Canis lupus familiaris: one gene and its partner. The protein of the gene in region 1 binds, or shares a complex with, the protein of each later gene. Links are inferred from orthologs where the notes say so. Each region holds a gene or a part of one and is shown on either strand. Other genes may lie near its edges.

The links.
Region 2: the proteins of CAST (region 1) and CAPNS1 are in contact, whole or in part, in a crystal structure (PDB 3BOW), measured with the Rattus norvegicus proteins. The link is inferred for Canis lupus familiaris from reciprocal best matches to the Homo sapiens genes CAST and CAPNS1. Residues at the interface, in NP_445747.2 of Rattus norvegicus: Pro652, Ile653, Asp654, Ala655, Leu656, Ser657, Asp659, Leu660, Asp661; in NP_058814.1 of Rattus norvegicus: Phe103, Leu106, Gln109, Leu110, Ile125, Lys128, Val129, Arg132, His133, Leu136, Phe166, Trp170, Lys174, Gln177, Lys181.

The regions. Positions count from the first base shown.
Region 1 is NC_049224.1:13,067,429-13,071,765, reverse strand, and holds the start of CAST (calpastatin), read left to right. Parts: upstream 1-1,349; 5' UTR 1,350-1,428; coding exon 1,429-1,503; intron 1,504-2,822; exon of another isoform or gene 2,823-2,950; coding exon of another isoform or gene 2,951-2,980; intron 2,981-4,337.
Region 2 is NC_049222.1:117,399,865-117,404,230, reverse strand, and holds the start of CAPNS1 (calpain small subunit 1), read left to right. Parts: upstream 1-1,303; 5' UTR 1,304-1,375; intron 1,376-2,283; 5' UTR 2,284-2,301; coding exon 2,302-2,507; intron 2,508-2,525; exon of another isoform or gene 2,526-2,546; coding exon of another isoform or gene 2,547-2,569; intron 2,570-2,586; exon of another isoform or gene 2,587-2,721; intron 2,722-2,856; exon of another isoform or gene 2,857-2,937; intron 2,938-3,369; coding exon 3,370-3,403; intron 3,404-3,676; coding exon 3,677-3,766; intron 3,767-3,921; coding exon 3,922-3,979; intron 3,980-4,078; coding exon 4,079-4,143; intron 4,144-4,366. UniProt on the Homo sapiens protein: Regulatory subunit of the calcium-regulated non-lysosomal thiol-protease which catalyzes limited proteolysis of substrates involved in cytoskeletal remodeling and signal transduction. Essential for embryonic development.

The DNA of each region.
Region 1 (4,337 bases):
TGCTAGTTACATAGATAATAAGCAAAACTTTTAAAAAGGAAATCCATTTTCAGCACTCCTCACTGCTCCCCCCATCAGGAATGCTGCTAGTCTGTAAATGAAGACAAAAATCCCTAAATACAGCATGACTACTCTTTTCCTACAACCTGGCTTCTCTCTCAGCAAATGTCTAAAACATAACACTGCAGAGAGTGGTCACCCTCGGGTCCTAAGTGTCCATGCCACCCCAGGGAAACGGGTTCTTTTTTCTGTCGGGTCTGATCACAAACCACAGAATGGAAGGGTGACAGTCTCAGCAGATGAGCATTTTCTAGACAAGCTTGTTATACTTCACTTCCAGGCCTAAACCAGGAAGTGCTGTTTAAGATGAGTCAAAGACTAAAAACACTTTGGCCTCGGAAACAAAACCGGCCAGGCTCCAGAAACGCTACAGGGGTTTTAATTTGGGACTATTCTTTGGTTTGAATTGGAACCTACGGCTTCCTACCCCCATAAAACGTTTTAAAACTTTCAACATTGCGCCCTCCCGCCCCCCCCCCCCAAAAAAAAACCCCTCCAAGTGAGATGCCAGAAAATACACACAGGAGAGCGTACACACCTACACAAACAGACACATCCAGACAAACAAATGCACAGACCCATTTGTTTTTTTGTGATCCGCTTCCTTATCTAGACGGTCCAGGCTTGGGCCAGATTTGAGTTGGTAAATTCTTCTCCAAACTAAACCCGGACAGATTGCAGGAAAGGTGTTTAATTCTGGAGATAGGGACGCCTGGGTGGCTCAGCGGTTGAGCGTCTGCCTTCGGCCCAGGGCGTGATCCTAGAGTCGTGGGATCGAGCCCCACGTCGGGCTCCCTGCGTGGAGCCTGCTTCTCCCTCTGCCTGTGTCTCTGCCTGCCCCCCCCCCCCCTCTCTGTGTTTCTCATAAATAAGTAAAATCTTTAAAACAAAAATTCTGGAGACCTGTTTAAGGAGAAGGGTCGAGGCGCAGCCGGGCCACGCCCGGGTCCCGCTCTCCCGTTGCACAACTGAAAGCTGAGTCCGGGCAAGTCGAAGGAGGAACCCTGAGACCTGCAGCCCCTCCTCCCTGCGACCTCGGGGAGCCCCGAGTCCTGGGAGGCGGGGAGGACCTCGGGGCGAAGACCACGGGGCCGAGGGTGTTCGGCTTCAGCCCCGGGGCGCTGGAGCTGGGGCCGCAGCCAGCAGCCGGCAGGAAGGGGAGGACCCGGCCGGGCAAGGGGGAGCCCCCGCGCGGGCTCGGGGCTGGGTCGGAAAAGCTGCCTCACGGGCGCGCCCGCCGGCCCCTCCGCCCCCTCCCTCCCTCCCTCCCTCGCTCGCTCGCTCGCTCGCTCGCAGAGCAGCCCCGCCCGGGCCTCCCTTCGCGGCCCCGCGGCGCCCTCCCGGAGGCAGCGATCCCGCGGCCTCGCCATGTCTCAGCCGGGCCAGAAGCCCGCTGCCTCCCCGAGGCCCCGGCGCGCTGCCGCCGCCCGCGACACCCAGGAGGTGAGTGGCGCCCCTCCGGGAGCCGCAGGGCCGCGCTGGGGGGAGGGGATCCGAGCCCCGGGGCCCTGGGCCGCCTCCTCGGGGCGTGACCCGCGCGGCCGCCTGGCCCGGGCGCCCTCGGGGCCGGGAAGGGCGCGGGGCTCAGGCTCGCCGCCGGGCAGGGGCCGGAGGTGACCAGGGGTCCCTCGGGCCCGGCCCAGTGCGCCCGGCGAGGCGCGAGCTCCACAGGGGGCCGGGCCGCGTCGGGGAAAGTTGGGTGGGGAGAGGCGGGCGAGGGAAGAGAGGGCTGGGGGCGGGAGTTCCTTCGAGGCCCCCGGAGTGGGGGGAGTTTAACGAGCGCGGAATCCCCTCTTCCGCTTAAAGCCGGGGCTGCAGGGCGGGGCTGCCCCGAGGAATAACACAGCCACCCTAGCCAGCCTCGCGCCGCGCCGGGCGGGGCGGGGCGGGGCTGCCCGAGGAATAACACCCCTACCCTAGCCAGCCTCGCGCCGCACCGGGCGGGGCGGGGTCTGCGGGGGCGGGGCCTGCGGGGGGCGGGGCTTCCCCGAGAACTAGCACAGCTACCCTAGCCAGCCTCCCGCGGCTCCGGGCTGGGCGGGGCCTGAGGGGGCGGGGCCTGCGGGGGGCGGGGCCTGCGGGGGCGGGGCTTCCCCGAGAACTAACACCCCTACCCTAACCAGCTTCCCGCGGCACCGGGCGGTGCGGGGCCTGAGGGGCGGGGCCTGCGGGGGGGGCGGGGCGGGTGTGGGGGCGGGGCCTGCGGGGGGCGGGGCTTCCCCGAGAACTAGCACAGCTACCCTAGCCAGCCTCCCGCGGTACCGGGCGGTGCGGGGCCTGAGGGGCGGGGCCTGCGGGGGGGGCGGGGCGGGTGTGGGGGCGGGGCCTGTGGGGGGGCGGGGCTTCCCCGAGAACTAACACCCCTACCCTAACCAGCTTCCCGCGGCACCGGGCGGGGCGGGGCCTGAGGGGGCGGGGCCTGCGGGGGCGGGGCTACCCGAGAACTAACAGCTACCCTAACCAGCTTCCCGCGGCACCGGGCGGGGCGGGGCCTGAGGGGGCGGGGCCTGCGGGGGCGGGGCTACCCGAGAACTAACACAGCTACCCTAACCAGCTTCCCGCGGCACCGGGCGGGGCGGGGCCTGAGGGGCGGGGCCTGCGGGGGGGCGGGGCGGGTGTGGGGGCGGGGCTTCCCCGTGAAATAACACCCCTACCCTAGCCAGCCTCCCGCGGCTCCGGGCGGGGCGGGGCCTGCGGGGGCGGGGTCTGCGGGGCGGGGCCGCTCCGGGTGCGCCCAGGTGTCGTGCCTCCTGCTGGCTGCGGGCGTCCCGAGCGCAGAGCCCGCCAGCTCCCAGGCAGGCGAAGTGGGAGCCCCGCGCCGGCCGCCCCGCACCCCGCGTCCTCGCCGAGCCCTCCGCCACGCGCGGCTCCGAGCCCACCGACTGTGGCCATGGCATTCGCAAGCTGGTGGTACAAGACGGTAAACGCGAGCGATCGTGCCTGGGCAGGAACGGGAAGGGGATGATTGCTCTGCCTTTCCGGGAGTGCGGATGGATGAGTGCTGTCCGGACTGGGGCTGGGAAGGGGTGGGGACCACATGCGACCTCTTCCCGGGACTTCAGGTTGGGCTCCGGGAGAGGCCGAGACTCACCCTGCTGTGGTATGCACCAGCGCGCCCGGGCGTGCGAGTCCGTGTGAGCAGAGATGCAGGAGGCCCTGCTTGCTCTCGAGCTGAATGGGACAGGAATAGTTCCGGGAGGAATTCCGCCCCTGGATGCGGATTCCCGAATGAACTCAGCTCGCAAGAGCCTAGACCTAGCGTTTTTAACTTGTGTGCAAAGCTCGAAACTTTTAGAGAAATGTCCTTGGACATGCATTTTCCAACACAGAGGAGGAGAATGGGGGGGCAAGAGAAAACCCAACACTCCAAGGAGCAGTAGCAACCGAGATCAAGAGCTTTGTTGAGAATGAGACGGTGAGAGTTAGAGCGATTCTGTACTTTTTTTTCCACACACAAAAAAAATAAAATAAAAATACACGAATGATGTGTTGGTAGGTGAGAATCAAAATATTTCTATCCCATTGATTGATGTGTGAATTTGAAAAACTTAGTTTTAAGTACACGTCTTTCTCAGCATGTGGTATTGGGAAAAGCAAGGTTATTCTAATTAGACACGCTTTAGAGAGAAACCTTGTATGGAAATCAGTAAACTGTCACTGATAAGCCAGTGGCCATTCACTGAACACCTACTATGTGCCAAGTCTGGTCCTAGCCTCTAAGTACACAGTGGAGAATAAGATAATAGTTCTTTTTCTCAAAGGGCAATGAGTCAACATTTCTGAACCTGTTTCCAAATCTGTAAAATGAAGGTCATAATAGGCACCACGTAAGGGTTGTGAGGACCGATTAGATTCATGGATCAAAGTACCCACCGTACCCATAGACTTTTAATGATTGGGAATTACAGTTTCCCTAAAGATATTTCTTTGTAATTGTTTCCCATTACATTTTCTGGGCTTTTAAAACATAGCATCTTATTTATGTGCTGAAAGCAAAAGTTTGCTTTGAGTCATTATTGTCCCAAGGTTCTTATCAAAGTGCACCACAGGAATTATCTGCAAATATGGATGGCAGTGTTTCAGAGGTGACATCAGACTTCTCTTTCCAAATTCATGATTCCCTAAAGGAAATTCCCTCAAGGAAATGCTGGAATATTTGAAGTAGTTTAAAACAGTGCTTTTAACTTTGTTATGTTTAGGCATCGTCTGTCATTTTGCTAAGATCTCTCTTATATTCCAATTTGGGAACTACCATAAAATTTTTTTGCCTCTCAGGA
Region 2 (4,366 bases), on another chromosome or scaffold:
ATTAATCATATTATTGAAGTCAATGCTTTAGGGTAGTGGTTAAGGTTACAGGCTAGGGAGTTTACCCTCAGTCAGTTTACTTGTAAAATGGAAATACTGTGTACATCCACGCCATAGGGCTGTTACAAGGGCATGTGAGGTTATATGTAAAGTGCTCAGGAGAGTGCCTGGCCCTTATTTTTATCAGTATCACCTAAGGGTAGGTCAGTCAACCACCTGAGGAATCCAGGTGGGCTACAGGAGGAGGGAACAGCAGCATGGGTACAGGCACACACAGTTTCCTCTTTACTAACCTTATTTACCACTCAATTCTGAGGGGGAATGGGAACCTTTGTTTCTCATTTTACAGATGAATAAATCCTTGCTAAAACGAAATGAAACAAAACAAAACAGCCTTGCTCAGAGCCCAAAGGATCCCAGTTATTAAATGTCAGAGCCAGGGTTCAGACTCAAGCTAAGTCAGCCTCCAGGGGAGAGTCGAAGGGGGCCAGACTTTCCAGAAGGCCTGGGAGCCAGATTAGCTCCCTCTGAGGAGCCCTGAAGTTTGGAGGCCGGAGCTCCCCAGAGGGGCTTCCGCTGCCGCCCTTTGCCCTGCCAGCTTCTGCATTCCCCACCCCCTACTTCTCCGCCCGATCTTGGGGACATCTAGCTTCAGAAACCAGGCCAGAGAGACTGACTGTTCGGGTGCCCAGGCCCCTCTTTAGAGATGGGAAGGAGGAGGCGACACTTGGCGCCGCTGACTCGGGGTAAAAGGATGCGGGGGGAGGAGGCACAGGCAACTTTTGTAGGCGGGGAAGTCCTTCCTGCAGTCTGACCGCCACCTGGTTGCTGCAGGGCCCCGGGAAAGCTAGTCCAGCCTTAGCCCCTTGCCCCAAATGCGGGCGCCGGTCCCCGGGCTGTGGGCCGAGCATCCGGGTCTCCAAATGCTTTGTGGCGACAGGACTAGGATCCGGGGCGCGGGCCCGAAGTCCCCTTCCCAGCGGACCGAAAACGGCACCGCGGGGCGCACGGGGGCTCGCTGTGGGGCCAGAATTCACACTGCAACACTAGGGGGGGATCCCGGGCACGGCGACCGCACTGCCCTCAAGGACCGGGAAGACCTCGGATCTCGGAGCGCAGGGCGGGGTCCGCACCCACAGCTCAGGAAACGCGCGGGGCGGAGCCGCGGCGGCCGCTCGGGGTCACGGGAGGCGGGCCCGGCGCGCGCAGGCGCAGCTCAGGCCGGCTCTAGGACCGCGCGGAGGCCGGTCGGGCCGCCCGCAGAGCCCAGCCCCGCCCGCAGCCTGAGTCACCCGCCCCGCCCTGCGGAGCCGGACGCGGCCGGAGGCCCGGGAGCAGCGCGGACGAACGGATCCACGGACGAGTGAGCGAGGCGGTGAGCGCCCGATCTGGATTAGCCCTGTACTCCGTAACCCCGGTCCTTGCGGCCCCCATATCCAACACCCTTAAGCCCTGGTCTCAGGGGTCCCCCCCCCCGACCCATGATCTCAGACTGGAAGCCCCAGTTATGTCCGGCACCAGGTTATCCCCCCCTCCCCCGCCGGGGACTCTTCCACCCTCTGCCTCAGGATCTAAAGTTCGAGCCCGTGGATTTGAGAGGTACTCCTACAAATTATGCTCAGGGTAGGGTCCCCAGAACCACGATCCTTAGATCCGTTCTCCCAATTCTAATGGGCACCCCGTTATCCCAGGCCCCGGGATTCACACCCACAGTCTTAGACCCGAGCCCGCAGAATCAGCGGCGACATTGTAACCCGCTGCTGGGAGTATCGAAACCCTCAAGCTCACATTTCTGGGTTTCCTGAACCCTGCCCCAGAGCCTTCCAAGTGGAGAATCTCTGATCGGCGCCCCTGACCCGCCCAAGACCCCGAAACCCAGCTCTGGGGCTCGATCTGACTCGAGTACCTAGACATGTCAAAGATGTCTTGCACCAGCTTGGGGCCCCCACCTGGAGAAGCCCCCAGACCTGGACCCTTACCCTGGATGATGCCTATGCACTATGGACTCAGTCCAGGGGCCCTCAAGCCAGAAGGAGATCCTTTGGACCCAGAGGGGATTTCAAACCCGATCCTCAGTCCCTGTCCCACCCATCCGAAAACTACCCTCCCCCAGAACCCCAGACCCCATCCCAAATGCACCGTCAAGCCCGAGCCGGAGCATAAGTCCCTGCCCTGAGGCCTCATGTTACTCCCCAAGTCCGGCTGCCAGAAATGCGTATTTTTGTGTGGAAGGAGCGGGCTCCGTGGCGATGCGGCCCCTTGACCCCCCCTTTCCCCCCCCAGGAATTTTAAATCGCAGCCATGTTCCTGGTTAACTCGTTCTTGAAAGGAGGCGGCGGCGGCGGGGGAGGCGGGGGCCTGGGCGGGGGCCTGGGGAATGTGATCGGAGGCCTGATCAGCGGAGCCGGCGGCGGCGGCGGCGGCGGAGGAGGCGGCGGCGGCGGCGGCGGCGGCGGCGGGGGCGGAACGGCCATGCGCATCCTGGGCGGGGTCATTAGTGCCATCAGGTAAGGCGGGGCCTGAGGGGCGGGGCCCGGCGGAGGAGCATGTCCCGCCTGAGTAGATGGAGGTAACCTGGGGCCTGACCTGCAGTCTTCGAGGCTGGGCCACCCGCCTGGAGGGCGCGGGCCGTAGCGGGGCCGCTGGCAGTTCAGGAGGCGGCGCTTGACGTGGGCGGAGTCTGACGGCTGAGGGGCGATCTGCCGGGCGCTGCTCGGGGAGGTGGGGCTTGGGGGGGCGCGGCCTGCCTCCCGGCGGCCGGGAGACGAACGTTAGGGGGGCGGAGCCGCTGAGCCCGGCCGTCTCTTCCCGGGGCCAGGCCTGCCTTGCGGGCGCGGCGTGGCCGTGGTCTCGGGTCAGTGAGGCGCTGGACCCAGCAGAGGCCGAGGCCGAATGGGATGCGGGAGATGATCCTGAAGGAGGTGGATCTGGCTAGAAGTACGACCTGGTCGAGGTGGAGCGGGTTGTCACCAGGGGCCTCATTAACCGTGGCCCCCCTCGAAGGGGTGGGGACTCCTGGAGCTGGTGGGATGTTGGGAAACACGGGTGTTCAGGAAGCCACAGGACGGAGCAGGTTCCTAGACAGAAGGGGCCTGAGGAGGATGGAGCCCCAGGAAGCTGGGTCAGAGCTTCTATGAAGTGATCTGTTGAGGAATCTGTCACTGGGCAGGTGTGCCCTGGCCTGGCCCTGGCCTACCGTAGGGCGGGCCTCTGAGTTTCCTGCCAGGTGCAACCAGGGCAGCAAAGAGGGACCGTTAAGGCGAGCAGAAGGAGCCGGTGGGGAGGGTGGTGGGCTGGAGTTTGAGGGGTTGGGCACCGTCTTTGGAGGCTCCGCACACTGGCGCTAACTCCCTAACTCTCTCCCCTCAGTGAGGCAGCTGCGCAGTACAACCCAGAGCCTCCGGTAAGCCACCCTCTATAATCGGAGACCCTGCTTCTCACTCCCAGGCTTTTTTCCACACCCATCATTGTCCCTTTGTCCCCCTTATGAAATTCCACTCATTAAATCTCTCCCTTGCCAAGGTCCCCAAACTTAGCTATAGCCACTCCCTGCTTTCTGACCATCTCTCATTTCTTTGATCACCCAGCCACTCAGCCCATTCCGACTTTCCCACCAAGGGCTGTCCTGACCCGGGCACCCCTCCACCACTTGCTCTGAGATCTTTTCCCTCTGCAGCCTCCACGCACCCATTACTCCAACATTGAAGCCAATGAGAGCGAGGAGGTCCGGCAGTTCCGGAGGCTCTTTGCTCAGCTGGCTGGAGATGTAAGTAACCCTGGGCCCCTATCTTTGTCCTAAGTCTTCCACATCTTCCTTTGGGCTGCCCTTGCACACACCCCCAAAAATGGCAATCCCCAAAGAATCCCCATTCTCCTTCATGACATTCTTCCCTTGTGACCATCCCTGACTTTTCCCCACAGGACATGGAAGTCAGTGCCACAGAACTCATGAACATTCTCAACAAGGTCGTAACCAGACGTGAGTTGTTGGGCTCAACACATAGGACAGGTTTTGAGTCATGGGTTGCTGGGGTAGTTGTGACCTCTGGCCTTCTGACTTTCAATCTGTCCCCCACAGATCCTGATCTGAAAACTGATGGTTTTGGCATTGACACATGTCGCAGCATGGTGGCCGTGATGGATGTATCCTTGGGGGCAATCTGACTGAAGCCTTGGGTGAAGGAGTTTTGTGAGAGCATGGTTAGGAGAGCCAGGGTGTAGCTTTCATACACACAAATGTGGACATACATATATCAGAACACACACTCACTACCACACACCCAGACGTGTGGCGATAAATAGTAACCTCAGCTATCACAGCTGGCATTTCACAGCTGTTCTGTTAAATAGGCAGAATTGTTTTAGT